Coturnix japonica: one gene and its partners. The protein of the gene in region 5 interacts with the protein of the main gene of each other region in a pairwise test. Links are inferred from orthologs where the notes say so. Each region holds a gene or a part of one and is shown on either strand. Other genes may lie near its edges. The genes, in order: MID1, E3 ubiquitin-protein ligase RNF103, AMFR, ZNRF2, UBE2N, LRSAM1 and TRIM32.

The links.
Region 1: the proteins of UBE2N (region 5) and MID1 interact in a two-hybrid assay, tested with the Homo sapiens proteins (2 studies listed by BioGRID and IntAct). The link is inferred for Coturnix japonica from reciprocal best matches to the Homo sapiens genes UBE2N and MID1.
Region 2: the proteins of UBE2N (region 5) and E3 ubiquitin-protein ligase RNF103 interact in a two-hybrid assay, tested with the Homo sapiens proteins (3 studies listed by BioGRID and IntAct). The link is inferred for Coturnix japonica from reciprocal best matches to the Homo sapiens genes UBE2N and RNF103.
Region 3: the proteins of UBE2N (region 5) and AMFR interact in a two-hybrid assay, tested with the Homo sapiens proteins (2 studies listed by BioGRID and IntAct). The link is inferred for Coturnix japonica from reciprocal best matches to the Homo sapiens genes UBE2N and AMFR.
Region 4: the proteins of UBE2N (region 5) and ZNRF2 interact in a two-hybrid assay, tested with the Homo sapiens proteins (4 studies listed by BioGRID). The link is inferred for Coturnix japonica from reciprocal best matches to the Homo sapiens genes UBE2N and ZNRF2.
Region 6: the proteins of UBE2N (region 5) and LRSAM1 interact in binary tests that used the Homo sapiens proteins (3 or more experiments, as listed by UniProt). The link is inferred for Coturnix japonica from reciprocal best matches to the Homo sapiens genes UBE2N and LRSAM1.
Region 7: the proteins of UBE2N (region 5) and TRIM32 interact in binary tests that used the Homo sapiens proteins (3 or more experiments, as listed by UniProt). The link is inferred for Coturnix japonica from reciprocal best matches to the Homo sapiens genes UBE2N and TRIM32.

What each region holds. Positions count from the first base shown.
Region 1 is NC_029516.1:112,129,037-112,133,496, forward strand, and holds the start of MID1 (E3 ubiquitin-protein ligase Midline-1), read left to right. Parts: upstream 1-1,459; 5' UTR 1,460-1,616; intron 1,617-4,460. UniProt on the Homo sapiens protein: Has E3 ubiquitin ligase activity towards IGBP1, promoting its monoubiquitination, which results in deprotection of the catalytic subunit of protein phosphatase PP2A, and its subsequent degradation by polyubiquitination.
Region 2 is NC_029519.1:77,624,074-77,628,361, reverse strand, and holds the start of E3 ubiquitin-protein ligase RNF103, read left to right. Parts: upstream 1-1,370; 5' UTR 1,371-1,475; coding exon 1,476-1,701; intron 1,702-3,262; coding exon 3,263-3,402; intron 3,403-4,288. UniProt on the Homo sapiens protein: Acts as an E2-dependent E3 ubiquitin-protein ligase, probably involved in the ER-associated protein degradation pathway.
Region 3 is NC_029526.1:510,591-514,408, reverse strand, and holds part of AMFR (E3 ubiquitin-protein ligase AMFR), read left to right. Parts: intron 1-211; coding exon 212-252; intron 253-978; coding exon 979-1,111; intron 1,112-1,650; coding exon 1,651-1,784; intron 1,785-3,181; coding exon 3,182-3,253; intron 3,254-3,338; coding exon 3,339-3,449; intron 3,450-3,818. UniProt on the Homo sapiens protein: E3 ubiquitin-protein ligase that mediates the polyubiquitination of lysine and cysteine residues on target proteins, such as CD3D, CYP3A4, CFTR, INSIG1, SOAT2/ACAT2 and APOB for proteasomal degradation.
Region 4 is NC_029517.1:38,037,591-38,042,189, reverse strand, and holds the start of ZNRF2 (E3 ubiquitin-protein ligase ZNRF2), read left to right. Parts: upstream 1-1,676; 5' UTR 1,677-1,880; coding exon 1,881-2,322; intron 2,323-4,599. UniProt on the Homo sapiens protein: E3 ubiquitin-protein ligase that plays a role in the establishment and maintenance of neuronal transmission and plasticity. Ubiquitinates the Na(+)/K(+) ATPase alpha-1 subunit/ATP1A1 and thereby influences its endocytosis and/or degradation.
Region 5 is NC_029516.1:40,865,201-40,869,595, reverse strand, and holds the start of UBE2N (ubiquitin-conjugating enzyme E2 N), read left to right. Parts: upstream 1-1,502; 5' UTR 1,503-1,622; coding exon 1,623-1,652; intron 1,653-4,395. UniProt on the Homo sapiens protein: The UBE2V1-UBE2N and UBE2V2-UBE2N heterodimers catalyze the synthesis of non-canonical 'Lys-63'-linked polyubiquitin chains. This type of polyubiquitination does not lead to protein degradation by the proteasome.
Region 6 is NC_029532.1:870,969-875,558, reverse strand, and holds the start of LRSAM1 (E3 ubiquitin-protein ligase LRSAM1), read left to right. Parts: upstream 1-1,687; 5' UTR 1,688-1,804; intron 1,805-2,383; 5' UTR 2,384-2,481; coding exon 2,482-2,553; intron 2,554-2,868; coding exon 2,869-2,925; intron 2,926-3,221; coding exon 3,222-3,266; intron 3,267-3,648; coding exon 3,649-3,726; intron 3,727-4,175; coding exon 4,176-4,244; intron 4,245-4,552; coding exon 4,553-4,590. Other genes in the region: RPL12 (60S ribosomal protein L12), read right to left, coding at 68-154, 584-665, 1,170-1,268, 1,380-1,453, 1,530-1,566.
Region 7 is NC_029532.1:2,238,517-2,241,116, forward strand, and holds part of TRIM32 (E3 ubiquitin-protein ligase TRIM32), read left to right. Parts: coding exon 1-1,546; 3' UTR 1,547-2,600. UniProt on the Homo sapiens protein: E3 ubiquitin ligase that plays a role in various biological processes including neural stem cell differentiation, innate immunity, inflammatory resonse and autophagy.

The DNA of each region.
Region 1 (4,460 bases), about 71 Mb from region 5:
GGCCACATATTCTTGATTCCCTATGTACTGTATAGGGGGACTATTTTAGATATATTTATTGAGTCTTACAGCTTTTATTGGTATTGTTTTTCATTTTTCTCCCCTTATAAGCCAAGCTCCTGCAGTATCAAGAGGTTGAATGTTTACGCCTCAGGGGAGAGGAAAATTATAAGGAAAGAAGTATTGAAAGCGTTAGGAGTGGTCATTAGGAATAGCTTTTCTACACAGTATATTATTTGATGATCTCTAAGACATATATATTACATGGGGATAAGAAAAGTTCTAGTCCACTGGGTAATGATAATTTCCAGCATTTGGGTGGTCTAGAGGTCATCAGGAAGAGGATTTTGTCTCTTTTCTGTCTGAAGTTATAAGGGATACATCCGAAGGAACAAATGAAAGAAGGGAAAAAGAAAAAAAAAAAAAAAAAGATACACTTTATAGTTCAATGTACTGTTTTAAAACATCAGCTTTTCATCACTTGATCAAATCTTTTAACTCTTATTTCTTGTTTTGGTTTCATTCACCCTTTGTTCTACTTGCTCCTTCCTGTCTTTCGCTCCCTGTCCCTCTCTGCCTATGTTAGTGTTGCGGCTTGTTGAAGGAGGGCCATAATGAACAGGGGAATCTTGTGTGAGTAGTATAAAGGGAAATGAGCAGCATGATTTTCCCTACGGTTAACTGATTGCTTCTTGAAGACATCTGAGTTGATCTTGCAGAAGGGGTTTAGTGAGCAGTGGATGGGCAAGAGGAGTCAGGTACACCTCTGCTCTGCAGAGTGCGGTGTGTGCTTGTTCTGGGTAAGCACCCTATCCATTTATCTCTGTGTGGGTGGGTGTGTCTGTTAATGTATCACAATCACACCTCCCGGACTAAGACAGGTCTATCACCAGAAGCTCAGCTATTACATTGTCTAGAAAAGGAAGTAGGAAACAGTAAACAACCTTGGCTTGTACTGCTTCTTTTCTTTTTTTTCTTCCCCATTGACTGCAGTGTCGCAACTCTTTTTCATGTAACGTTTGATATATGGCAGCCTTTTCGCATAGAAAACTGATACAATTGGAATTAATTTAATGCTACCAGAATGTGCGTGCGTGTTACCTTTGTGAACCCTTGTGCTTTTCTTGGAGTCAAAAGTATAGGCTAAGGCAGGTGTCCTGCAAAAATATCAAGTGTTTAACGTAATAGTGACATAGCACTCACTGTTGCTATAGATGTAAGAAATGGAATAACTTCATAGGTGCTAAACTGCTGCAAGGAACCCACTCTCCCCTCTGGTGACACTGAAGTGCTACGCAAGCAAACTTCAGGCAGGCAGCCCCATTTGGTATTTGTGGAGTTAACAAAGTTAAGCTCTCTCCCGGCTAGCCTCTTCCACTAGGAATGCAATTAGTGTTCACCTATATAAGGAAACCTGCCAGGCGGCGGGGCTGGGGCTGGGGCTAACTCCGCGCCCAGAGAGCGGCACTGCGCGGGCTGGACAGGGCTCGGCGGCAGCAGCAATAGCAGCGGCAGAGGCAGCAACAGAAGCAGCAGAGCAGCCCAGCGCTGGGAAGGACTATCCCGTTTTCTTCAACTTCAAGACGAGGAGGAAAAGAGCAACAATGGAGTGGCAGGTATGTCGGCACGGAGCCCTGAGGCGGGAGGGTGGGAGAGAGGCTCGGGGGGTGCCTGCGAGACTTGTTCCCGCAACTGCTGTTCCCCCCCTGAAATGGCTTGCTGGATTTTAGAGAGGCTGCAAAGCAAAAGCGTGCTTCTTGTTTGCAGCAACATCTGTACGCACGATTACATTCACTTATCTGACGTTCTGTGCGCTTCTAATTCACGTACACCTTTTTACCGGGGTGATAATCAAACTTTCTTATCTCTGATGGAAATCAGATGTGTGACTGGAAATGAGGCTGAGATGCTTTGCTTAACTCTACGAACCTCTGCAAATGCGGAATTTTATGGTACTGTCACGTCTGGAGAGCAGTCCTTCACTTTGTAGCGTGAAACATGCCTTTTGTGAAAGGTGTGCTCCTTTAGCCCTTCCGGGATCTCAGTGTTCTTTATTGTGATGTGTGTGAATGCAGCCCAGTCAGCGTAGCTGGGATGCGTTTGCTGGAATACAGGGAGTTCCTGCAGTAATAAAGCTTTTTCAGTGAGTTAAAAAAACAAACTGCAGGTTCTGCTCTAAGAAATGTAAGCAAAACTTGTTCTTCTACTGTTAGAGATTACACCAATTCACAACAAGGATGTGTTGCCTGGGAAATATTTGCACATTCTGTTAACCTTCACAGGAGGTTCTGTGTAAAATCCTGACTGAGAGAGTGAAAAGAAGGGGAGGAAAAGTTTGTTCCGTGTAGATATTGGTGAAGACATAATAAAAAGTCAAGTTGAAAACTTACCTCAAACAGCTTTCTAGTTGGAAGAATGCTGCTATGCAGTCCTTCAGGATAGTTAGCCATTAGCATCAGCCAGCACGTGAGTTCTGTGGCAGCTCACTCAAGTTGTGTGCAGTTAGGGTATAAAAGATAGCAATGAAAGAATACTTTGAGTTATTTCTCTGAAAAGTGCCTTCTAAGGAGAAACCACACAGAACTATTCAGCAACAGGTGGAGTTTATTTTCAAAATGCTTTTGTTATCTTAGCAATTGGTAGACATAACAATGCTTTTCACTAATTTTCATTGTTAATCATATTTAAGTGGGCGTATGAGTGATAATGCACTAGTTATGGGAGTTTCAGCTCTATCTCTTCTGAGGACCAAAGTATGAAAGTAAAGTACAGTCTTACTACTAAGGGCTTAAAAGCTTAGAGTGAAGATTATTGTTATTTAAAAACTCATAAAGTTTTTACATTTTTCTGAATGAATGTCTACTTGGAGTCTGTAATGCGACATTACTAAGGAGGCATCAGGATTGTAATTCACCTGTGTTGATACATGTTCTCATTCACTTATATGCATGGCAATCCTATTGAGGAATCAGTGGGAATGACACACACCAGTAGTTTCAGTAGAGCATTTTATTGGAGCATCAACATGGCAAAGAAGGTATACACTAGACAGTGCTTCAGAACTGCAGCTAGTGAGTTGATTGTCATGAAACATCTTTGGTCTTGGTGGAAGGCAGTACAGCAAATACAGTACCAGTGGACCAGAACCATGCAGTTCCTTTGTATCACTTCTCATCCTTGTGATTTTCAGTTCATATCATACAATCACAGAATCATTTGAGTTTAAAGGGATCCTTAAAGGCCACCTAGTGCAACTCCCCTGCAATGAACAGGGACACCTACAGCTAGATCACGTTGCTCAGAGCCGAGTCCAACCTGACCTTGAGTGTCTCCATGGATGTGGCATTCACCACATCTCTGGGGAATATAACCTTTATTAATGTTAATTGAGTGGAAGCACAGAGGATAGATTTTAGTAGGGTCGTTAGTAATTGAAGTATGAATTTAAAGGGCAGGATAAGGCACTATATAAACTTACTCTTGAATCTCCTTTCCCCTAGCATATCTAGTAAATTACATTGTCCCCCTTCATTTGGCATCTAGCTGTGCTACAGTCATTCATGGTCTTTCGGCTTCCCAGTGCAAAATGAGATAGAACTCTGATTCAAAGCCTGCACAGAATCTTCTGGGCTGGCATGAGCTTACTCTAGCCCCGGGTCTGGGGTCTGGAGCTCAAGCCTTATAAGAAACAGCTAAGGGAGCTAGGAGTCTGAAGAAGAGGAGGGTCAGGGGAGACCTTATTGCTCTCTATAACTACTTGAAGGGAAGCTGTAGTGAGCTGGGTGACAGCCACTTCTCTTGTGTAACTAGTGATAGGACTAGAGGGAATGGCCTCAAGTTGTGCCGGGGGATATTCAGGCTGGATGTTAGGAAGTATTACTTTTCTAAGAGTGGTCAGGCACTGGAATGGACTGCCCAGGGAGGTGGTGGTGTCACCAATCTTGGAGGTGTTCAAGGAACATTTGGATGTTGAGTTGATGGACATGTCTTAGTGAGGACTATTGGTGATGGGTGGATGGCTGTACTGGACGATCTTGTAGGTCTTTTCTAACCTCAGTGATTCTGTGATCTGATCAGCAATCTGTGGCCATCCTGGGGCTGGTCCCAACTGCAGGCTTTTCCAGGGAGATGGGCGGCAGTGTGGGCACTCATGTTCTTTGCCATGAGGTTTCTTGTACCCTCCTCTGCCACCCAAAGCATATGTAATGGGGCAGCTGCAAAGCCTGTGCTATCACACCAGAACCTACCAAGAACTAGGATCTGTGCTGCTACTTATATATATATATTAACTTGGTGCTGCAGGTGTGGTACTGCATGAGTTTTCATTGACTCAGATGCACAAAAAACGAGTCCTTCTCTGACCAGGATATATGGCTGGGAAAAAAAATTTAACCTTGTTTACAGTAAGAAGAGAATTGAATAGTAGATGAAGCAACTTAAAGGATAGATCTTGTGTATTT
Region 2 (4,288 bases), on a different chromosome or scaffold from region 5:
TTAAATGTCTCTGAGAAAGAAATGTGGTCTTGCAGTGTGTTCTCAGCACTCAGCCTGTTTCTGGTCCTACCGACAGGTGACATTAAATGTGCTTTGTATTGAAAATCCCTCGGCTCTGCCAACTGCGATAACAAAGCCGCTCTTGGGTGTGTTGTTGCCAAGAGGGAAGGATTAATCTCCCTGATGCTGTGCCACTTTCTCATCAGGGAGGTGGGCCCTTGGAGGGGGGTTTAAAACATGTAGAAAACCCTCTAACTGTTTTTTAACAGCTCTGAAGAGTGTGGCCGTTTAGATGCTTCCTACAGGTCAATATTTATGTTACAATTCGGTTTTCATGCCTTAGTACAGTATTACTTCAGCGTGTGTGCGCTCCGAGGGGCTGTCAGGATTCTTTAGAGGAAGCTGTGCTATTTCTGTGTTTGTGTATGAGTTGGCAATTTTAATGCAAACTGTGGTTTCTTAAAATAACCAAACCCACAGAGGCGATGCTGAGTTCCCTTTGGAGGAGAGCCTTCATCTCAAGGACCGAGTGTGACTGCAGTGTGTTTCGAAGCAGCCTAAATCACCTCTTACAGCCTTTCTCATGCTTCCTGTGCAGAACCCCAGTGAAGTGGGTTGGTCTACAGCCCATAGCAGGGAGGGTTGAAACCAGCTGATGGTTATTGAATCAACCTAAGCCATTCTATGGTATGATTCCCTGTGGTCCCATTGGGTTTCTGGACGTGTTCAGGACCCTGGAGATGTGGCACCCGGTGGTGGTGGTGGGGATGGATGGGTCGGTGGTTGGACTTGGTGATCTCAGCGGCCTTTCCCAACCTTAAGGATTCTATCTATGATCCTGTGAACTGTCCAAGCACTTCAGCAGCACTTTATGCAGCACTTCTGGCTGCATAAACATCATTCTCCGAATGAAAAACCTCAGTCTGGGTTGCACTTTACCCATTCTCGCTGTTTTCTTACACGTATTTTACAGCAACCGCAGCAATCGGGTTCTGAGCTGATACCGAGTGCAAGCACAACCCCTTGATTTACGGCACAACCTCTTCATTTATGGCGCAGCCCATTTGCTCTGCAGGCCTTCCCTCTGCCGTCAGCGGGCGAGAGGCGGCGGGGCCGGGGCTATAGGGACCTCCGGGGCCATAAGGGCCTCCGGGGCAGCGAGGCGGAGGCTCGGTTGGGCTCGGCTCGGCTCGGCTCGGCTCGGCTCGGCTCGGCTCGGCTCGGCTGGGCTCGGCTCGGTTGGGCTCGGCTCCGTGGGTCCCCGCCCGCCCTCTCACGTCACTTGTTATGTCTCCGCCGGCGGCCGCGGCTCCGCCGGGGCGGGGACAGCGGCGGGAGGGAGGCGGGGGGCGCGCAGCCCCGCCGCGCTGACAGCCCCGCGCCGCCTCAGCGCCGCCACCCGCGGGGCAGCGCCGGCCGCCCCCCTTCCCCCCCCACAACCCCCGGCTTGTCCGTCCGTCATCCCGCCGGGAAAGATGTGGCTGAAGCTGTTCTTTTTGCTGCTGTATTTCCTGGTGCTTTTCGTCCTGGCCAGGGTGTTCGAGGCCGTGGTGTGGTACGAGACCGGCTTCTTCGCCACGCAGCTGGTGGACCCGGTGGCGCTGAGCTTCAGGAAGCTGAGGACCATCCTGGAGTGCCGCGGTTTGGGGCACTCGGGGCTGCCCGAGAAGAAGGATGTCCGGGAGCTGGTGGAGAAGTCAGGTAGGGCCGCTTCTCCTCCTCCCTTCCCTTCCCTCCCTCCCCTCGGGCCTAAGGCGGCAGCTCCGGCCAAGGACATCGCGGTGCTGCGGCGCTCGGACGGCGGCATTAGCGGCATTAGCGGCATTAGCGGCGCTCCCCGCTGCGGCAGCGAGCCCAGCACGGGCCCGGAGTGACCCCGGAGCGCCCCGAGCCCGGCACGGTGTTGGGGCGGCTGCGGAGGGAGGCACGGGGTGGAGGCGTTCAGGAGGAGGAGGAGGCCTCGGAGAGGCTGCCGAGAAATGGTTTCCCTTCGGGGAACGGTTCCCTTTGGCCCGGCTGAAAGCGAATGTCATCCGCCGTGAAAAACGAGGAGGAAAGAATCCAGATACCCGCAGGCTGCAGGGTTGCTATTTACAGTCGGGGCCGGGTTGTTAAGCCGCGTCCCTTTCCCTACGGTGCGTTTAGAGGTGCCGTCAGGACGGGGATGGGGGAGGCAGCGCTGTGGGATCGGTGGCTGCAGCGTGGAGAAGGGCAGGGAAGTGCTGCAGAAGTTGGTACAGGCTGGTTAAAGTGGGGGCTGCAGCCCTGAGGGTGCGTGCAAAGTCCAGGTGGTGGTGGTGGCCCAAAGGGAAGTGGCCCAAAGGGCTCGAGATGGGCTGATGTAATCAGCGTAGTGCCAGCCAAGCAGGACATTGCTGCTTGTAAATCACTGGGCAAAGGGCTGCTGTTAGAGAGAGAAAAATCCCCGTGCTACATACAGGAAGGGGACTCAGGAAGCCAGACAGAAATAAAGAGAAGGGTTTGGGTGAATACATGGAGAGCCACAGCCACAAAACAGGCTTTAAGAATTGATGGTAAAGCCAACCATCTAAATCTAATTCGCTTGTATTGTTCGTTGTTTATTTATGTTGTTTATTCACTTTGCTGCTTCACCAGTCGGCACCAGGAGGCAATTTGGGTATTGTTTCCAATCACTTTCGCTCCTTGGCTGTCACGTACTTTCATGATGTCATTATGTTTGGGCTGCAAATGCTGCAGGGAAGTGTTTAACGCCAAACAAACTGTATTAACTGACTTGAAATGTCATGGAAACAACTCTGGTGCCAAGAGGCTTTGCAGAATTTCTCTCATAATTTCAAAGTTGGAATTCCACGAATACTTTTTGTAAGCTCTCGAGCCTTCCAGCTGTAACACAGCACTTCTTTCTCCCCTTCATATTGTAGGAAGCCTTTGGGCAAGACTTCACTTCTTCCAGTTTAACATATTAGTTGCCAAAATAGCAGTTGTCATGAAGGGTTTTCAGGTAGGGAGGCTCAGGAGATGCTCATTTGCTCTCACGTGGGATACGTCTGTGTATTCATGTGCGCCGTCAAATTGTTCGTAGTCAGGTCACTATGGATGGAACTAAAGTAACTTCAGTTCAGTGCCTTCCTACTGATAAGGGTTTTGAGCACCCATTTAAAACCTACGTAGTGAAACTGCTGCTTTCTGAAATGGAATCGTCGTTACTATTAGAATTTGCTGCTATGAAGTGATCTGTCACCATGTTCAAACTGAATGTGTCCAGTTGTCTCTTTTTCAGGTGACCTTATGGAAGGGGAACTTTATTCTGCTCTCAAGGAGGAAGAGGCCTCGGAGTCAGTTTCAAGTACAAACTTTAGTGGTGAAATGCATTTCTATGAGCTTGTAGAAGACACAAAAGATGGGATCTGGCTGGTACAGGTATGGATGTTTTATCATGTATTTTTTATCTATTTATCTCATTCAAATTAAGTTTGGAAGCAGGAATTGTTGGGAGTGGTTAACTAGTAGGAAAAATGCATAGCAGAGAGATGATGGCAGAGATAAACCACATCAAGGAGATCAGAAGGAGCAAATATGTTCTAAAACCTGAGCAAGACTGGAAGCAACAGAGTTCCTACACAGAGAAGAAGAAAACCTGTTACTCAGTGGACTGCTTTTAGAAGACAGCCAGCAAACAAGCAGAGTAGCACACATGTAGCACACAGGCCCTGATACTGTGCAAGTTTGTGTATTGTATGAAGTGCATTAGGTATAGATGCTCCCAGCTGGCACAGGAGCAGTGCCTTTGGTCTTGCTCTTCTTTTATTATATGCTCAGACCCGGTTGGTTTAAGTGCCTATTTATCTAAGGGGCTCAGAGCAGTTTAGCAGTCTGTTACCTCTTCATTCACAAACGAGAGAGGTGCAGCTTTCCAATCCAGAGGCCTGTTTGCGCAATACATTCTGGAAGCTCAAAGTTTGCCTTTACCCAAACCTTGTGGGCACAGTGATTTACAGCGTGCTTCCCCAGGGCTGCATGAGAACGAGAAAACATTCAGACTGCTGCAAATGAGGCTCTGGAACAATTTATCATCACTGTTGGGAACATATGAGAACATAAGATAAGTAGTCTAGATTAAGAATGTGAAAAAATACTTTCCTTCACCAACATCTCCATTGATAAGAGATCTTTGTAGGTGCTACCAGCCTCAGTGGGCAATCAGATTTTTCCACCAGGTAATTCACTGTTTAGTTGACAGCTCTCCTTCCTGCATTAAATGGTTTGTCTGATCTCCCCCCTTCATGTTTTCTATTTAAATTGATTG
Region 3 (3,818 bases), on a different chromosome or scaffold from region 5:
GTGAGCACTGGGATGTGTTTGCTTTTCCTCTGTGGTCTCCTCAAAGCCAAAACCCTGAGAACAGAGCTGAGTCTCTTTCTCTTACCCACATTTGGAATGGGGGGGGGGTGGGTAGGCAGAGGGCAGTCTGACAGCCCCATAGAGCAGCCTGAGGTTAGACTGAGCTAACCAGGCCAGAACACTGCTAACATCTTTGTTTCCTCTTTTGCAGTCTCTGCTGGTGACAGTCAGAACTGCTCATGTGATTTTGCGGTGAGTACTGCTGTGGTGATTGCTCAAGGTGTTTGTGCACGTGGTGTGGATGTAAGAGCTGCATGCAGTCACCTTGCTGCATTGCAAATGTGTATTTGGGGACAGGCCCCTTCTGTTTTTGAAACATAAGTTCTACAGTGCGTGGATTGCTTTAGAGGCTGCTAATAGAGCAGTGCTTAAGACATGGATTAAAATGGATTGGCACTGCTGTTTGGGGGTTGATGTATGCTCCTTGATACCATCATACTGTGTTTCTTTTAAGCTCCTGATCTTTCTAGCTTTTGCTCTAGAGAAGCAGAAAGCTCATGCATCTGCAAGGCGTATGTAGGGCATGACATAAAGAGCAAAAGCTCTTTGTCCAGGTCACCACCAGCTTTCTGGGTCTGTCATTAAGCTGTAATGCCTCACCTGAGACACACCTCAGAGGCTGAGCAATGTGGGTCTGCAGCATGCAGTACTGTCATCTCAAAAGGGGCTCTACGAGCACACAGGAGTTTAGTGAACACCGTTGTGCCTTGTGGTGGCATCTGTAGTGCCAGTGTGGGCTGAGCACTGGCTGCTTTTTGCCTTTGTCAGATATTGCTGTTTGAAACCAGTAAAAGTAGAGAAAACAAAGAAAGTGCTGGGCCTACAAAGGGCAAAGAATCCAAACCGAGAAGAATAAATAGCTTAGAGATTTTAGCTAATGAAAACCAGCAAATAAAGTTAATGTCTGGGCTCTTGCAGATATGTAATTCATCTCTGGGATCTCAACCATGAAGGAACGTGGGAAGGTAAAGGCACATATGTGTACTACACGGATTTTGTCATGGAGCTGACCTTGCTTTCGCTGGACTTGATGCATCATATCCATATGCTGGTATGGAGCACTGCAGCATTAGCTGAGTACCTTGCCTTAAAACACTGGGTGCTGGGTATTTCAAATAGGCATTTTTGTTTTGCTTATTTCGTGTTGTAGAGAAGTTCAGTAAATGAAGAGGAAAGTGTTGTATGGGGCTTCTGGCATTCTTTCGTCCTGTGTAATTGCAGTCTTCATAAATAACTTTGTTATGGAGTATTAACTACTGTGTAATTACCTGTTTAATTGGCTTTATTATTGAGCAATCACATGGAATTATTTTCACTGGCAGCAGGGGGCATTCAGACAAACAGGGCTTGAACACCATTTCTCCTGTTATGAACCCTGTGCTACTCAGGTGGTTTTTGAGGGAAATGCTGTTTGAGGAAATGAAATGAGGAAAAGCATTTCCTGTGAGCAAGTGTGGTTAGTTTGAATGTTCTTAATAGAAGAACTGATTTCCTGGGTTCTTGTTCTTTTAAGCACAGATACAGTTTCTTGTGGCTGCCTCCCAGTTCCCACTTCTGATCCCTGCTGTTGTTTTTTTTTCCCCGCCAAAGCTGTTTGGCAATATCTGGCTGTCGATGGCCAGCCTGGTGATCTTCATGCAGCTGCGCTACCTGTTCCACGAGGTCCAGAGAAGGATTCGGCGGCACAAGAACTACCTGCGTGTGGTTGGAAACATGGAGGCCCGGTGAGTTGCCTGCTTGCTCTAGGGTGTGCATTGTGCTGTGGGGACAAGAGCCCAGGCAAGAAGTTGGGGGTTCTCTTATGTTCCTTTGATATTCGATGGTATGTTGTGAGCTGGAGAGATGCTGTCTTCCAAAACCTGCTCTGAAATGTTCCTGCTGTAGAGGGTGTGTTTTTACAGTCTTTGCTTCCATTGTATTTGTGACAAGGGACTCTCTGTCTCAGTTTAACAGATACACAGGCTGACTTTTACCAGGCATCCTACTTTTGTACAAGTAATGCTGATCACAAGTGAACTCTTCAGTCCAGAATTTCTTCTGTTTGCCCTTATGTACTGCCCTAGGTGGTAGGGGTGGCATAAGGTCTGCAGAGCTCAGCCTGCTTCATGTATTGCCTTTGGCTCTGATGGAAATTAATGCTTCTAATTTCCTCAGGCTGTGTCATTCAGTTACTGCCAGAAATTTAATCAAAATATTAATTAAAAGAAACAACCTGTTCATTAAACGTGAGGCCAACTTCAAGCCAGCTTTGCACCTGGAGCAGAGCTGAGGGCCATTCAGGATTACTTTAGGCCATCCCCCTGTACCAAGACAATGTAGAGAAGTGGAGAGGCCTGCTAAAAACTGAGAGTGTGCCATGTGCTTCTCCATCTCTGATGCCTTGTCATAGTTCAGCTGTGTCCTCAGTAAAATAAAGAGCAGCAGGGAGTTTTTTTGTACATTGCGGTACCATTTTCATTTTAAACTCTGATGGACTTGACCAGCTCTGATGCCTGCTGTGCTCTAAGTAGAGAGAGCAGTCTTCCCTGGAGATTCACAGTGTTTTCTTTGCAAAAGGGCAGGTAGTGCTATCACACCAGGTTAAGAGCTGCATAGCCATGTTCATCCACAGTGGGTTACTTCTTTCTGGTAACGCAGCTGCTGAACCCTTTATATTGCTCTCAAAGCCATTTTGAGTTGTTAATGTTTCAGGCATCTTGTCTGATGACTTTGTGTAGTTGGTTTTTGGGTGTATTGTGCAGTGGCTGTACTGCAAAATGTTGTGCTACTCATCTCTGTACTGTCTCTACTGTTTGTCTTTGGGTACTATGCAATAGATACTTGCACTGTAGATTAAACATATAATAATTCAAAGACAAATAGAGGTTGGTGAAATCTGAGGGCAAAATTTGTCAAACCAGAAGTACTTAGGAAGACATTTTGATGGGTACAGCTATTAAAGCTCATTTAGAAAAATGACATAAGCCAAATCTATACAGGTTATAACTTGAGGTTCTTGACCTAATGATCATGCTCCGTGGAAGGCAGTAAGTCATTTGGGCTTAGGGTGTATGCAAGATGTGCCAAAAGAAACTGTGCAAGAAAGCATGGGAGAGACGTGTATGATAGTTTTCCTTTACAGCATGAGTTCCGGTTATGGAAAAGGTAACAAACATCCTGGCACGCCTCCCTCGAGGAAAAATGAATGTGAAGGGTAAGGTTTCCTCAGTGCAGAATCCTTTAGGCAGAAAGCTGTGCTGCGCTGGGATAATCATTACTGCTGTCTCTTCCTTTTATAGGTTTGCAGTTGCGACACCTGAGGAGCTAGCAGTCAATAATGACGACTGTGCCATCTGCTGGGACTCCATGCAATCCGCGCGGAAGCTCCCCTGCGGCCATCTCTTCCACAAGTATGTTGCTGGGGCTGCAGGGCCTGGGGACAGAGGTTATGTGGGGCAAGTGTGACACTTAGAGCAGGGTGACAAGCAGCCGACTCAGCTGAGCTGTGGTTGCTGACTGCCTGGGCCATCTTGGTTTGCTTCTAATTACAGAGCAAAAGTAGCATTTGCTTCCATGTTGGAGCTGTTTCATTTGCTGCCTTCTTTCCTCTGAACTAAGAGTATATTTGTTGTCAGCTGCTACACAGGTAGTACTGAGTTATGGTATCTCAGTTGCAAGTCTGTACCCTGCCTTTCTGTGCAAATACTTGGTAAAATAGGCCTTCTTTTTTTTTTCCCTCTGTTGGTCTCAGGCTTTTCTTCTTCCATGTGTGCATGTTG
Region 4 (4,599 bases), on a different chromosome or scaffold from region 5:
ATAAGAGCATGCAGAAAAGATGGAGGTGAGAAATCTAGCTGCTCTTCTGAAGACACATGTGTTCACTGGGGTGTGTGTCCTGTTTAGATTCACACTTGATAGTGAGATCTGCAAACATTAAACACCCCAGGTGCAAAGCAAAAACAGAAGCGAAAGGAAAATCATATCTCACTGGGAATATCCACACTTTCTGTGGAGGCAGGGGCTGTCCTGTTGCTGTCTGCAGCTGAGCCCTTTTCTGTGAGATACTCTATGCTGTTAATTTTCTGACTGTACCACTGAATAACTCTTCAGATGTCTTCAGGCCTATTTTTCCCCCACAGGCTTTACTGTTTAATTTTAAATTGAATACAAGGTCACTCGTAACCAAATAGGATCTATTTAATACCTGCTCAACTCTTAGGATCACCATAAGGAAAATACAGATGGTACCATGGTACTGTGTAGCAATGCAGTACTTCCAAAGCGCTGTTTGTCCTAACAGCCAGTGGAGATGCTAAGAACGCACTAACAGCTCCGAGCACACTGGCCTCTAACAGGGTGAAACAGGCAACGAGCGTTCTGCAAGCAGCAGAAATTATGAGTCATGTCTGCAACATCCTTTACCCATGTGAATTCTTGGAATCGAGTGAAAGAGGAGGAATTCCTATGGCAGCTTTTCCTTCTGTGGGAACATTAACGGGATCTCAGGCTTTTCCTGTTGAAATCTCTGAGATTTTTGCCTCCTCCACCGTTCAAGCAGAGGTAGCTCTTCTAGCACACCAAGCTGTGGGCCGCACTGTGTCACAAAGCATCTGTAACAGGGAAGGGGAAAGGTTTGAATGGGAGGCCTCCATGACTGTTCACCTGTAGGAATCACATTTGTGTACATTCTAAGTGTAAGACGCTCAACATCACATACCATTAAGAAACCGAGTATTTCTGCTCTTGACTTGTTTCACTTTGAGCAAACCGAGCCCGTCAGCCACACAGGTACAATTCACAGCAATTTGGGCGCAGTTTCTATCTGTGTATTGCATTCAGCAACCGGGAGACTCCAATGAGTGAGGACAGCCTCCATCCTCCCGGCCATGAGCCGACCTCAGGGCTGCACCAACCTTGTTACATGGCTTATCCGAGATGCCACTGCTCGCCAGGAGCCGCGTCAGGACAACCTTCCTCCCCACCCGGGCACCCCGAGGAACGACACAGACAAACTTGGTGGCTGCACACTGTATTAGAACCACTACGGCCGCCCCTCAGCGAGTCACACGGACAGACGCAACTCGGCTCGCCGCGGCCCTCGCTCCCGCCTCCGCCCCTAACGGCCGCAGCACCGGCTGCCGGCGGCGGTTGAGGCTTTAACCCCTTCCCTTCTCCTCCTTCCCCCGGTCCGAGCAGGGTATCGCCTCACCCCGTGAGGGCATTGCGGAGACCGGCTCCGCCGCCGGCCTCGCCCTCAGCGCCGCCCCGCACCTTGCGTGAGGAGAGGGGCGGGCGGCTCCGCTCCGGGTTCCAACACCCCGCCGCGCAGGGGGAAGGAAGGCGCCGTGAGCCGCCCGCTCCCAGCGCGGGGCCGCCCCCAGCATGGCGACAGCGTAGAGGAGCGGCCGTGCCGCGGTGCCCGCCCCTTCCCGCCGTGCCCCCCAGAGCGCGGCGCGGAGCGGCGGGATGGCGGCGGCGGGGCCGAGCGGCGGCTGGGCGGCAGGCAGCAGCAGCAGCAGCAGCAGCAGCACCGTGCCGAGCAGCTCACGGCGGCGCCCCGCATCCGCCGGCAGCGGCCGCGCCGGGACCGCCAGCTGAGCCGGATCGCGGCTGGCGGCTCTACCCTACGGCACCGACGCACCGAGCGACGCGTTGCAGCGCCCGGCGCCTTCCTCTCCGAAGGGCGGCGGGGGACCATGGGCGCCAAGCAGAGCAGCCCCACCGCCGCCAACGGCCGCACCCGGGCGTATTCGGGCGGGGATTTACCTTCCTCCAGCGGCGGCGGCGGCGGCGGCGCTAACGGGACCGGCGGGCGGGCGGCGAGCGGGCGCTACCCGCACCTGGCGGCGGCGCCACACGGCGCTCACGGCGGATCGGCGGCGGCGGCGGCGACGGGGGGCGCGGCGGGCACGGCGCCCCGCAGCAGGTCCCTGGGAGGTGCCGGCGCCGCGGCCCGCGCCGCGCAGTCCGCCTTCAACATCCCCCACAGCAGCGGCCCCTACGGCTCGCAGGACTCGGTGAGCAGCACCCCGGAGGAGGGCGGCCGGGACCGGCCCGCGGGGGGCGGCGGATCGGCCGGCGGGCCCCGGCTGGTGATCGGCTCGCTACCCGCGCACCTCTCGCCGCACCTGTTCGGAGGTAAGGGCGGCCGCGGGGGTAAGGGGGGGAGCTGAGGGCGGCCTCTCCGTGTACCCATGGAGGCTGCAGCCCGCCCGCTGTTTGTAAAGAGTTTTTGGGAAGTGGGGGCTGAAAACTGGAAGCAAAGCCGGGGCAAAGCACGGTTAGGAGGAAACGGAGCCTCCCGGCCGCCGACTTTAGACTTTAATAGCCGTAATCAGTGCCTGTGTAAATACTCCTGCCTTACTACTTACATAATTAGAATTTAATTGGATCATGCGTCTCGGCCCTTTATTCTAAAATCGGACCAAACCTCTCTTTAGATGCTGATCGCTACTTGGCCGACGCTCGTGCCTTCGAAGCTCTCGGTTTCTCAGTTGTGAGAGCTGAGAAAAAGAGAAGCGAAAGAAAGTTGTTATTTCCCCTAAGAGAGGGGCGCGGAGGGCTGCGTTTCCCTACCCAGGCGGTCCCGGGGACGGCCACGTGTGTTGGGCAGCAGAGGAGCAGGAGGCGAACCAGCAGCCCGGGCCCTTTGAGAAGTGCATTAGACTTGGAGCGAGTGTGTGCAGCTTTTTTGTCTTTCTAGTTTTATTTGTTTAGCTAGTGGAGGGTTTGCGTTTTACTGCCTGGGTTCTTTGCTTTAAAGTTAAGAGCCTGCACGGAAACTGCCGACTGCTTGCAGCTCTACTCATTCTAAAGGTCGCTGTTTGTACTGGTCACGCATTCAGGTGCAAGGTGACATTTTCCAGTGGATTCATTCTTTTTGATAAAGCCAATATTTATCATGGAATACATGTGTTACAAGCAGGCTGAATACCGACCGGCTTCCCCAACAGCTTTATTCTCAGTAGGGCAGGACTAACAGCAAATTACCACGTTTCTGTATTGCAATTAATGGACTCGTGCCTGGTGTTTGCAGCAGACTGGGTTCCCTTCCCTCCCGTGGTGCGACCTGTTGGCAACTGAAGCCTGGTGGGGCGCTCAGAGCTCTGTCACATGCCCATCACTGTACTGACCTGGGGGCACCAGAGCTGTCACTGCCTGCAGCCAAAGCCATCTCCTCCCTGTGCAGCTCTGAGATGCAACAGAGAGCTGCCAAGCCCTGTCATGTTAAAGGAGTATTTGCCCTGAAGAAAACTACTGCTGTCATAGCACCGAGCTGCTGAATAACAGTGCTTTGTTGCAGGGGTACTCGCTGTAATGTCAGGATAGCTTGCTGGAGGTAGGTGCATATGTTTCTTTTAGTGAGGAAAAGATGCCCTACTGCGAGTGTTGTGAGGTTCATGCTAAGCACAAGGGAATTAAAGCATATGGCTTTAACGTTGTTGTAACGAAAAACTTCTTTTTTTCTCCTTGCCTGGATATTATCTGACAGCCTGCCTTGCTTCAAGGAAGCTCTGAGTTAAATGTAAGTGCTGCAATGAGGAGCAATGATCTACCTAGCAAACTGGTCACATGCAAGAAGGTCTCTTCAAAACAACTCTGAACTTGATTATGCTTTTTTTTATGGCATGTCATAATGCATTAATTGCTTTACAACAGCTTGTCTTCTACAAATCTCTGAAACTGGGCTACTAAAGGGGATGTAGGTTGAGGTGAAGCAAAGCTTATTGCTTCTACTGGTGCAGAAGAAGCACCGGCAGAGGTGCATTCTCTTCATCTCCTCATGAAAAAACAAGGAATGCCATACGTTGGGATTTTAGTGGCCAGTGTTAAAATAGACTCTCCATAGGTGGTCATGAGGTGATCATAAATCATTTTGCTTTTTCTGTTCTAAAAATCTTAGTGTTTCTTATCAGGATGAATAACTGTTTAACTGGAATACAGCAGTGCTGGTGAAAAAGACCTCATTCGATATACTCCTTTTTTACAACTTAAATATTCTGTGATATCAGTGACACAACCAGATGATGCTGAATTGAGACACCCCAGTTTAGTTGCAGGCTTTGTGTTTCCTCTGTTTCTCATACCAATTAGGTGCTTGGAATGTGTATCCTCAATGAAGATCGTAACTTGGTATCCTCAGAATGGTGAAAAATAACTTTGAAGGAGTGTTTTTGACCCGACGGTAACTAGCTCAAGCTTGTCTAGGTGTGGTATCTGGCATTTAACTTGTGTATTAAATGCATGCTGAAAGTACCCTCCCTTGTTTTGTAACTTGCAAACACAGTTGTTTCTTTTCGTCTTGAAAACACCAAAATTAATTTGTAGAATTAGCACAATAGTTCTATTCAAATTAAAAAAAGAAAGAAAGAAGAAGAAGTTGAACTGCATTTTTGTCTGTTTATAGTTTTAGGG
Region 5 (4,395 bases):
TGGGTTAGTGGGCATGATGGAGATGGATCGATGGTTGGACTAGGTGATATGAGTCGTCTTTTCCAACCATAGTGATTCTATGATGATCCACAATTAAAGAACAGTTGTAACTAGTACGACCAGATTTTGCTGAAGGAGCACATCTCAGCACAGCTATTTCACAAGCTCAATAATGAATGCAAATGAACTCACCCTTCACCGAGGCAAGATGAGGGAATGTTATTGATGAACTCTTTGAGATCCGATTCTGCAAATGTTTGATGCATTTTTTCTTTCCACATGTCAATACATTGATTTCATCGATTTCACAGAAAGTTACACCCATAATGTTAGGAGAACAATTTAGCGTTTAAAGGGCCAAACGTGTGTACAAGAATGCACAGGGCTGGTGTTTTTCATGAGTTGATATGAAAAGTTTGTAATTACTGGTGTATTCAACAGCTGAGGAGATCAAGTTGTGTAGAACAACTATGTACCTTTTAGTAGCCTTCTCAAAAGATAGAGAAGGAAAATTTGGTAAGTTTTTGGGAAGCAATGTGGGGAGGATGAAGATTTTGGCTTAGGGGAAGCTGAGGACAGGCCTCATGGCAGCTACAGCTCCCCATGGGGAGTGGAGGTGAAGTGCTGAGCTCTGCTCTATGGGGGGCAGTGACAGGCCCCAAGGGAACAGCATGGAACTGTATCAGGGGAGGGTCTGGCTGGGAGTTAGGACGTTCTTTCACTGTGTGGTGGGCACTGGCACAAGAACATTTGGACTATATTTGCAGACACAGGGTTTGAATTTTGGGTAGTCCTTTGTTGAGCCAGGAGCTGGAGTTGATTCTTGTGGGTCCCTTCTGACTCAGGCTATTCGGTTTCCTTGATTATAAGGAGGGAGACACGGCACTTCTGACATGCTTCATGTTATTGTAACCACCATGGGTTGATAAGAATGTTTCTATCTTAGGACACAAATCAAGCTTGCAGTATTTCTGACAGGAGCATGTTGGCAATTACACAGCCCAGATTTGCCAGTGTTAGAACTGTCCATTCTACCAGTGTGTGAAAACGGCGTAGCTGATCTAAATGTCCTGTTTGTGAACCAGGACTAAAGCAATTGACAGAGAATTGTTCGTGCAGGGTCTTGTTCCTGGGAAACTGCTTCATCTTTCTGTGCTTTCATTTCCCATCTGCTCAGCAACGGTGCTGGATGCTACTGTTGCTACGTAGCTGTAGTAGGGAGCCACAGGATGCTGCGGAGGTAACACCATCCATGTAAAACACCACAACATCCATGTAAAACACCTCATCTTTACAACATTTCCCTTCCTGTCAAGGAGGAAGAGACGTGACTAACGAGCCTTTAGTATCACAAAGGTGACATGTCCTGAGACATCTCTGTGACTGTTCGCTGACACACGTTGTACCACGCTGATGAAATCCGAGCTCTGTCAGCGCGGAGCTCCGGCCTCACAGCGGGACTCGGGGCAGGACTCGCCCCTTAATGGCAGCGGGCGCGGCCTACATTGCCCGACGTGCCGCGCCGAGGGCGGCGCCACCGGAAGAGCGGAGCGGGAGACTTCCGGCTGTGTGCGAGCCCCGAGCGGAGGCGAGCCCGCGATCTTGCACCCCGACGAGACAAGATGGCCGGGCTGCCCCGCAGGATCATCAAGGTAACCACGCGTGCCGCCCCGCGGGGCCGCGAGGCACCGACCCGCGGCTCGCTCTCGCGGCGGGCAGGGTCGGGCCTGGCGCCGCTTCCGGTGCGCGGGAGCTGTGGCCGCGCGGGGCAGGGCCGCTCCCAGGCCTCCCGCATCCTGCGGAGCCGCCGCCGGGCCCGGCCAACGCGGGGTTGAATGAGAGCGGGGCGCCGCGCCGGGCCCGCCCGTCCCCGCCGCTCCCTGCTCGGCCCGGCGGCGTGATCGGGTGGCGGGGGAGCCGCCGGGGCGTCCCGGTGTGCTGTGGGCGGCTGGCGACAGCGAGGCCGTGCCCGTCGCGGTGCCCGCCCGGGCGGCGTCCCGCGGCCCTTCGGGGCTCGGGCGGCTCCGGGCGCAGTGTAAGGCTGCTACGTGCGCTCCGAGCTGCCGGCTCTGATGTGCCTCGAGCTGTGTCTGCCAGGCTTCGCTTTTGGCTTCGGCCACTTCCAGCTACACCTCGGAGGGAACTGCAGGCTGGCTCAAACGCATGGAGTCACTCGGCACAGGCGCAGGGAGCTGCGTTGCAATGCAGTTCGTCTTGCTGATGATTTGGTCCTGTAGCCGATGTGAATGCTTCCTGGGTTGGCATCCTCGATCCTACTCGGTTTGCAGTATGTGGTTTGCAATCTCAAATCGGTGCTCACCGACTGCTCTTGTTGAAGTTACTAAACGATTCCAGTAAGATTCATTAGTTGGTTAGTGGTAGCACTTGTTTCATTTCCACCTGAATGAATGTCACAACTTGCAATAATGCTGCAAAGCTCTTCTTGGTTGAGCTTGCAAAGTTGGCAACCATTGTAAAACACAAGAACACAATGTGTTAACTAGCTGATGCAAAAAATAAAGATATATATATATAAGTCAGTATATCTATATCTACCTATCTATATAGCAGATGTTAGAGGAGATGGGATAAAAATTCAACAAGATTTTTTTTGTGTATGAAAACAGCTGAACTGTGACTGATGCTCAGAAATACAGGCAAAATAACGTGTCAATCTTACAGAAGTGAGTTTGGTCGCCCTGTTGCCTTGGTGCGCAGCATACAGTGGTGAATATATTTCAGGTCTGAGGAAATCTCGTGATATAGCAGAACTGGTGTTTATTGTAGAGATGTGGTGAGAGATGAGTTGTGAAGCTGATATGTCCGTGTTAGATTTTGCTGTAGGTTTTGATAGTTTTCTGGCCAAGCTAGTCCATACATTTCATTCTTAGCACCCTTGTTTCTTCTTTCTTAGCTTCTTAGGGAAAACCTAGAGCAATGCATGAAGCTCGTTTCCAAGATAGAGGATGGTATGAGAATGTTGCTCTTGTCCCTGGGGATAGACATCTGAATACCCCAAGCAGAGACCTAAATGGTCTAGATTTTCTCCAGCAGAGTCTTGCTTGGAATATTTCAGTGTTGTCTGTTGCAGGGTGGTGCATATTCTGGGCTGTCTATGTCCAGGTATGCACTGTAGGATGTCTGCAGACAGTTCAGGGCCTTTGAGTCTTGAAATGGGTGACCGTTTCTGTAGCTCCTGTGCTGTGCATACGTGAGGTCATCAGCGCTATGTATGGTCTAAGACTTGAACCTGACTAGTATTGCAGTCTTGAATGTGTAAGGTAATATTTGAAAGTATCACAGCTGCAGAGTTGAAGATCTAGGAACGAGCTTCATGAGTCTTGAATGAGGGCTGTTTTGATGCTTGCTACTGATCTTAATGTTGGAGTTAAATATCCTATTGCTGCTTGTCGTAGTTGGAGGGGAGTAAATGAACTCAGTGAGAATTTGAAAGATGAGGAAAGGAAATAGAAGAGAGAAAGATAGATGACAGAAAAGGGCTGTAGAAGGTTGAAATAATTCTAGTAACAAGTTGCAAATTTGATAACTAAATGCTTTGGGTTACTGCTAGGAGTAGTAGTAGGAGGGAAGGAGAAGACCTTTTCCCTTTGATCCGCGTGTGGCCTTTGTGTGGTCATCTGAGGGAAGCACAGCGATAGCTGTTGGGGTCTAGCAGTGTGTGTGCACCGTAGCAGAACCCAGCTAAGGGCTCAAAATGCAGTTGGCATTCCTCATCTTGATGGACTGCTGGCAGATGGCCTGGCTCTCAGGTTGACTAGCGGCCTGTGCTCTCCAGCCTGCTTCTCAGCTCTGTGCAGACTGTCATCCAGCCCAGCAGGAGAGCTCTGGCTTTCCTTGTCTCAGCAGAGAGCTCTATTTATATTTTCAGTACTTCTCCACGCTCATTTAAAAGGTGTCAGTATAGATATTGCAAAGCATTTTTTACAGGAGATAAAGGATTACTCCTGGCTCGCCGTCCTCAGATTACTTGGAAGGACAGGCTTTAAACAAGTGGGGTGAATGATCTGTAAGCTCAGGAGATGACTCGCTTTAGAAGTATGGCTTATGGTGTTAGCACATCACAGATGTTGAGTAGAAAATGTGATAGATGTGAATCCTTAAATCAGATGTATAATTGGAACTGGAGAAACACTGTGAACTATTTTGTTACTGCACATATTTAAGGAGTGAATCTTTGCAAAGTACCCAGTAAGCAAACCCAGAAATCTTCATTTTCAAATGTTTGTTAAACCAATTATTTCCTGTGTTGCAATGTCATGTTGCTCCAGTAGAGTAAGGAATTGAATTGCATCTTTTTTTTTTCTCCTTTCCTTTGGCTGACATTCAAAACCACCTCACTGCTGTGTCAAGTGCAGTGAATATATCTGAATGGGA
Region 6 (4,590 bases), on a different chromosome or scaffold from region 5:
GCCAAGAGCCTGAGCCACTCGGATCCCACAGCAAGACTCAGTCCCATCCCTTAAGGTCAGTACTTACCAGACAGCTCTCGAGCCAGAGATCTGTGCCTCATCTGCCGGGCGATGTTCACTACCTCATCAAAGGTGATACTGCCATTGTGCTTTACTGTGAAACAAAGCAATGGCACCAGTGAGCTCAGTGAAGCACAGTGCAATTCCAGCCCCCCATTCTCCAACTGAGGAGCAGCATTCCTCAGTTCACACAGAGAGCCGTAAGGTTACAGCTACACTGGGGCTGTGATCAGTGCTGCTGTTCCCAGCCTTCGGCACAGAGCTACCCACAAGAAGAATAACTCTGTTTCCTAGGTTGGCATTTTCTCTCAGCTCACCTCTGGACTATACAAGTCACTGTATTATTAGACAGGTACAGTGGCGGGTGGCTGTTCTGCTCACTTTGATGCACTTGTTTAAGGAAATCCCACCGCCCCAAAACCCCCCTGGCACTTGTCTGCCAGTTCACACCAAGCAGCCACAAGGTGCACGTTCTTTTTCAGTACTAAATGACACCAAGAACCAAATGCGGAACAAAACTTACTGTTTTTCTGCTTCTTTCTGTCACGGGGGGGCTCCTTCAGAGCTTTGATAATCAGAGCAGAGGCAGAAGGAACCACTTCAATCTAAACAAAAAGAGATAAGGTTCTTTTCCCCACAATCCAAGCACACAGATAACACAAGGCCAGGCCTTCATTCCCTGCTCCCCAGCACACGCCTCTCCCTCCAGCACAGGACTTTGTTCCCAGCCTTTCGGCACAGCCCTTCCCACAGCCATTGGAGCGCTGCTTCCTGGGCTGGGGCTGCTCTCAGCTCACCACTGGAATATACCAGCTACTGAGTTCAAGGCAGGTACAGTGGCGGGTGGCTGCAGGACGGGCTCAGAAAGGCTTCATTCAGATCTCCACAGCCCTCGTTTCACATCCCATACAACACACACAACCAATGCACTCAGAAGGCTCAGACGTTCCGTTCCCACCCAGGCCTTCCCAGAAGCCCCCACACACGGTGTGGTTCTCATTTTATCCACCTCGGAAGGATGAAGGGCTGAGTCGACCCTGCCGGGATCGTGCTTGTGTTGGCAGCGAGCAGCGCCCGCTCACACAGCGATCCCTGTTGGCGTCGTGTACCTGCGCTTGCCTGTTCTGGATGGTGAGTTTCACCGTGATCCTCAGCCCCTTCCAGTCCCCGGTGGCTTTGGCGATGTCATCCCCGACCTTCTTGGGAGACTGAGCACAACACACACGTTAAGGTCATAAATCGATCAATACGATCATCAATCAATCAATACGATCATAAACCATTAATGAACGCCCCCCCCCATTGCGGCCTACACGTACCAGGCCGAGCGGGCCGATCTTCGGGGCCAACGCGGAAGTGGCTCCGACCTCCCCTCCGGTGCAGCGCAGATACACTGTGGGCACAGCAACGCTCCGTCAGCTCCTTACCGCCATCCCCGCCCCCACAGCCCCCCCCAACCCCACACGTACCGACTTTCACTTCGGTGGGATCGAATTTGGGCGGCATGGCGGCGGATGGCGGCGGATCGCACCGACTGCGGCCTGCGCCACGGCGGAAAGGCTGCGGGAAGCGCGGGGGAGATATATATAGGCGCCGAGATCTCGCGAGATCTTGGCAGCTTGCGGGATCCGCCCTCCGCTCGCACGCAGAGAACTCTATGGTGCGAGCAGGGGGCGCTCTGACCGCTCGTCTCTATGGTTTGGAGGCCCCGAGGGGATGCGGGGCGTCATGACAGCGGGCGTCGGTGAGAGCGGCCGGGATGGGGCTGGGGGCTGGGGGGCTGCGGGACGCATTGCGGGGATGGGGGGACGATGCTGCCGCTTCTGTGGCCGTGCTGACACTGCGGGTCACTGATAGGAGCGGGGCGGGGGGTCTCGCTGTTCCTTATCCACGTCCCCCCTGTTCTGCCCTGCATCAATCCTGCCTGTTTCTCTTCCCCTGCCATCTCAAAATGAAGGATTGTCTCATTTCCAGCCCCAATTTACTCCCTGGTATTTCACAGCTGCTCGTTATTGTGACGGAGTTTATCGGTTTTGAGTCTGAGTATCTCGGTTTTGCCCCTGGTTCCTGCTTTCTGGACCCAGCTTTCTTAGTTCCCATCCTGCAGTGGATCCCGTGTTTTCCTGTGTGTGTCAGTGTGTGTCTTCATTTATCTCACACAGCACTGACAGGACGTTCCTCCTGTCCCAGTTGTTCATCAGTGCTCCCATGACTCACACTGACATTTCCGCTGTGCCGGTGTGTTGGTCTCAGCCTGTGTGTCCCAGCCAAAGGTCTAAACAAGGCTGTGATCCTTCTCTTCTTTTTCTGTCTCCCTTCTTAGAGCACAGTTCTGTAGTCCAGGTTCCTCTCACTCCAAGATCCACCTGCCTTCCTTTATGCTGATAGCCTGTGCCATTAAGAGCTGTAACACAACTCAAGATGCCGCTCTTCTTCCGTAAGAAGAAACCCAGTGAGGATGCTCAGAAGCGCCTTGAATACCAAATGTGCCTGGTAAGCAACACTGCTGTATCCTCTGTTGTCTGTACATAGTCCCAGATGCCTCGTTACTGATCTCATCCAGGTTAGCAGGTTGCCTTTCTAATATATTACTCCTGCCTTCCTGGTCTGTTCTTGCCCTTCCCTCCACACATCCCCTCTGTGCTACTTCCTTCCCTTTCCTCTCCTGTGGTTCCACATCACATCTTCCAGCCCACCCCACATTCAGGACCTCCCGTCCTTTCTCCTTCTTGCTACTTCCAGCAATACCCAATATGCAGCAAGGGCCCATTCATTCATGTTCTAACTCTGTGTATCTTCTCCTACCAGGCAAAAGAGGCTGGTGCTGATGATGTTCTTGACATATCCAAGTGTGAGCTGTTAGAGGTATGTTCTCTGGAACTTTCGATATTAGCTGACAGGTCTTATTTCTCAGTCTATTTGTTACCAAGCATCAGATTTAATATCATGTCTGTGAGCTCTGGGACAGAAATGGCCTTGTGCCTGGTCCACTTCTTTCTCTGTATGCATGTTCTCTGGCTTTCAGGGCTAAAGTATCTTAAGTATCATGTGCATTTGCATTAAAGTTAATTACTGAGACTTTAGAGGTGGGTATTGTAGAAGTGCTTAGAAAATATGGGATCTGGTGAAGTCTGATGTGACCGTTTGTAAATTGTTTTTAGGTTCCATACGGGGCCTTTGCAACTTGTAAAGTCTTGCAGAAAAAGGTAACGATACGATCCTGAAGTGGATAATTCTGTTATTGTGCATGAATGTGGCTGTTGTGTTTGAGATGGTTGTTTCTGGCTGTCTGTGATGCATGTGGCCATTTGGCAGGACTAACCTGTTGTGTGTGCTGTACTGCTGCTGTCATGAAATACGAGCTGATGATTTCTATCCTAACCTAATGAACGATATTTCTCATACAAAATAACTAAAAGTCTGTTTAATATTAAATATTTGACCTCTACAATTCATTTACTATTTTAGGTGACTGTGAATAAGATACAAAACTCTTTCACAACCTCTGCAATTAAGTCTTAGCAAAAGTCTTATTCTGGATCCTGGTGCCCCTTATGCTCACGTTTCAATGGGTTTTTCCCTCCTCAGGTGCTGATCATTCATACAAATAATCTCACATCTTTAGTTCCAAAGTCCTGTAGCCTCCTGAGTCTCATAACTGTGAAGGTAATTGTGACTTTTAACAGCCATTCTAACTGCATTCAAACACACTACCCCGAAAAATTCCTCCTGTCTGACTGTTGTTACCAAAAAGTGGTAACAAAACGTGACGGCTCCCCTTTGTAGGTTTACAAAACCTGGTGGATCACTTGAATGTGGGTGAGGCTGGTGATGGGGGCACCTGATGTTGGTCTTTCTATGGAGCAGTTCAGGCCTTAGACCCTGCAGAAAATATGTTTTTCTGCCAGGCTGATTTTCATGGAGATCATTTGTTCACTTGGCACGTCCAGTTTGGTGGGACAGTTCCTGTGGTGCCTCTCCTTTCCCTGGTCACCTGTTTAGCAGTGGACTCTGGAGTTTTCCATTGCTCAGTAATTCCATAATTCACAGCCTTTTGTTTTTGCACGATGATGTCTTTCCCCAACACTGTTTGATGACATTCGCTGCTCTTGCAGGTTCTAGATCTGCACGACAACCAGCTGGCATCGCTTCCTGCTGATATTGGTCAGCTGACATCTCTTCAGGTAAAGGATCTCCTGGATGCCAAGCGTCTGTAAATGGTGTATTAGGGAACAGCTCATACTGGCTTAAGACACTAAATGTCTTATTGCATTTCAGAGGGTCTGCTCTGCTTTGGGGTGCAGCTCTGGATGCATATCACTGGCAGATTATTAAGAACTCATTCTAAAAGCATTTTTGCTTTTATAGCCTAGAAAACTAATTTTAAATCACCCTTTCTGGGGCTGCAGAATAGTCCCAACAGCATAGATATGGAGAAAACCTGAGACTTGTGTAAAGGATATTTTGATTATCTTTTCTGTTAACATCTTAGGTCCTAAACCTTGAAAGGAATCTCTTAAAATGTCTTCC
Region 7 (2,600 bases), on a different chromosome or scaffold from region 5:
CATTGCTATCAAAGAGGCTGCTGAAGAGCGTAGAAGGGAATTTGGGACAAGGCTTGCCAGACTTCGGGAGCTCATGGATGATTTGCAGAAAAGAAAAGCATCTCTGGAGGGTGTTTCGAGTGACCTGCAATCTAGATACAGAGCAGTTCTGCAAGATTACAGCAAAGAAGAACGCAAGATCCAGGAAGAACTGGCCAGGTCACGCAAGTTCTTCACCACCTCTTTGTCTGAAGTGGAGAAGGTAAATAATCAGGTAATGGAGGAACAAGCTTATCTGCTGAACTTAGCAGAAGTGCAGATATTGTCTCGCTGTGATTATTTCCTTGCCAAAATAAAGCAAGGAGATATTGCTCTCTTGGAGGAGGCAGCAGATGAGGAAGAACCAGAACTGACAAACAGTCTCCCAGGGGAGCTGATACTTCACGAGGTTGAACTCCTTAAAGTGAGCCATGTGGGACCACTGCAGATTGGGCAGGTGGTGAAGAAACCCCGGACTGTTAACTTGGAAGAATCACTCATGGAAACTGCAGCATCCTCATCGGCATCATTTAGAGAGCCTGACTTGATGCAACAAGAAGCCAGCTGCACACCAAATTCCTCCCCAGTCAAACCAAGGATGCCCGAAGCAGCTGCAAGCATCCAACAGTGTCACTTCATCAAGAAGATGGGCTCCAAGGGTAGCCTGCCAGGGATGTTCAATCTGCCCGTCAGCCTCTACGTCACTCTCCAAGGAGAGGTGCTTGTGGCGGACCGAGGCAATTTTCGTATCCAGGTTTTCACCCGCAAAGGTTTCCTGAAGGAGATCCGCCGGAGCCCCAGCGGAATCGATAGCTTTGTACTGAGCTTCCTTGGAGCAGACCTGCCTAATTTGACTCCCCTTTCTGTCACCATGAATTGCCACGGCCTCATAGGTGTGACCGACAGCTATGATAACTCCGTCAAGGTGTACACCATGGATGGCCACTGTGTGGCATGTCACAGGAGCCAGCTAAGCAAGCCCTGGGGCATCGCGGCTCTGCCCTCTGGGCAGTTTGTGGTGACTGATGTGGAAGGGGGGAAGCTGTGGTGCTTCACTGTGGACCGTGGCGTGGGGGTGGTGAAGTACACCTGCTTGTGTAGCGCGGTGCGGCCCAAGTTTGTCACTTGTGATGCTGAAGGGACCATATACTTCACTCAGGGGCTGGGGCTCAACTTGGAAAACAGGCAGTACGAACACCACTTAGAAGGAGGCTTTTCTATTGGCTCTGTCGGCCCAGACGGGCAGCTGGGACGCCAGATTAGCCACTTCTTCTCTGAGAACGAGGATTTCAGGTGCATCGCTGGGATGTGCGTAGATGCCAGAGGAGACCTCATCGTTGCTGACAGCAGTCGTAAAGAAATCCTGCATTTTCCTAAAGGAGGTGGCTATAATATCTTAATCCGGGAGGGACTCACCTGCCCGGTTGGTATTGCCATTACTCCCAAAGGGCAGCTGTTGGTGCTGGACTGTTGGGATCATTGCATTAAGATCTACAGTTACCATCTGAGAAGATATTCCACCCCTTAAAGGCATTTCTCTGGTGAAAACCCCTGTCATTAGCAGCAGTTCTTCCAGCCTCACTGCTATCTGACAGGGACCAGTGTCAAACACTGAGAAAACTGCACCACGGCCCAACAGGGATTGGCACGGAGGCCATCACGTTTTCTGTTTGGGAACAAGACAACTAACATGGTGGTGCCCTGCATTTTCTCTTTATGAATCTGCACAGTAGAAAAGAAAAGCAAGAAGGAAGAGATCCTTCTGGAATATTGGTTTTTTGCTAAATGACCAGTCGCTCCTTAACCCTTCTCACCTCCTTATTCTGCATTGACTATGTCTTCATCCACTGTACCTTTCTTTGTGCCATAAACACTGACTGGCTGCCCTAAATCACCTTCCTTTAGGGGACTGGAGAGGCAATCCTCTCCTCGCCATGGTACTCACGAGGAACTCGGTAGCAGTTGTCTGGGCAACTACTACAGAAAGCAATTTCTGATTGCAGCACTGCATAAAATAAAATAGCCCTCTTAAACTGCACGGAGATGGAGCTTACTTTCAAACTGAGGAGCAAGGGGTTTCTCTCTCTGCTTTTCTGCTATTCAGGAGATTGCCCCTGTCGTGCCGTTTGTGAACCGCGTCTGTTCAATGTGAAGTGAGTACAGTGCAATCATGGGAGACCGAGCAGAGCCAGAAAACTGCCCTCTGATGGCAACAGGGTGATTATTACTGCTAAGAATTCTGCTGGGGAGGAGGAGGGTGGGGACTGGAGGAGAAAAAAACAGGGGAAATCTGTTGATATTCAGGATTGTTCTGTTATTAAATGTATCTTGGGAACTGTCTTTGGGAGGTACCTTCATCTGGGGGGGAGGCGGGGGGTAGTAAATTAGATCACACACAACTATATGTTCACCTGCACCTCACTGCCTGCTCTCCAGATCGTCACCCTTACAGTCAGGTTTCCACATGTCTGCACTTTATATCCCACGATGAGGGTTGGGGGGCTGGGGAGGGGGGGAGATTGCTTCATTTTAATCTCTTTTAGCACTCGGAAGCACATCCATTGGTGCGTTGCCTTTTTCTC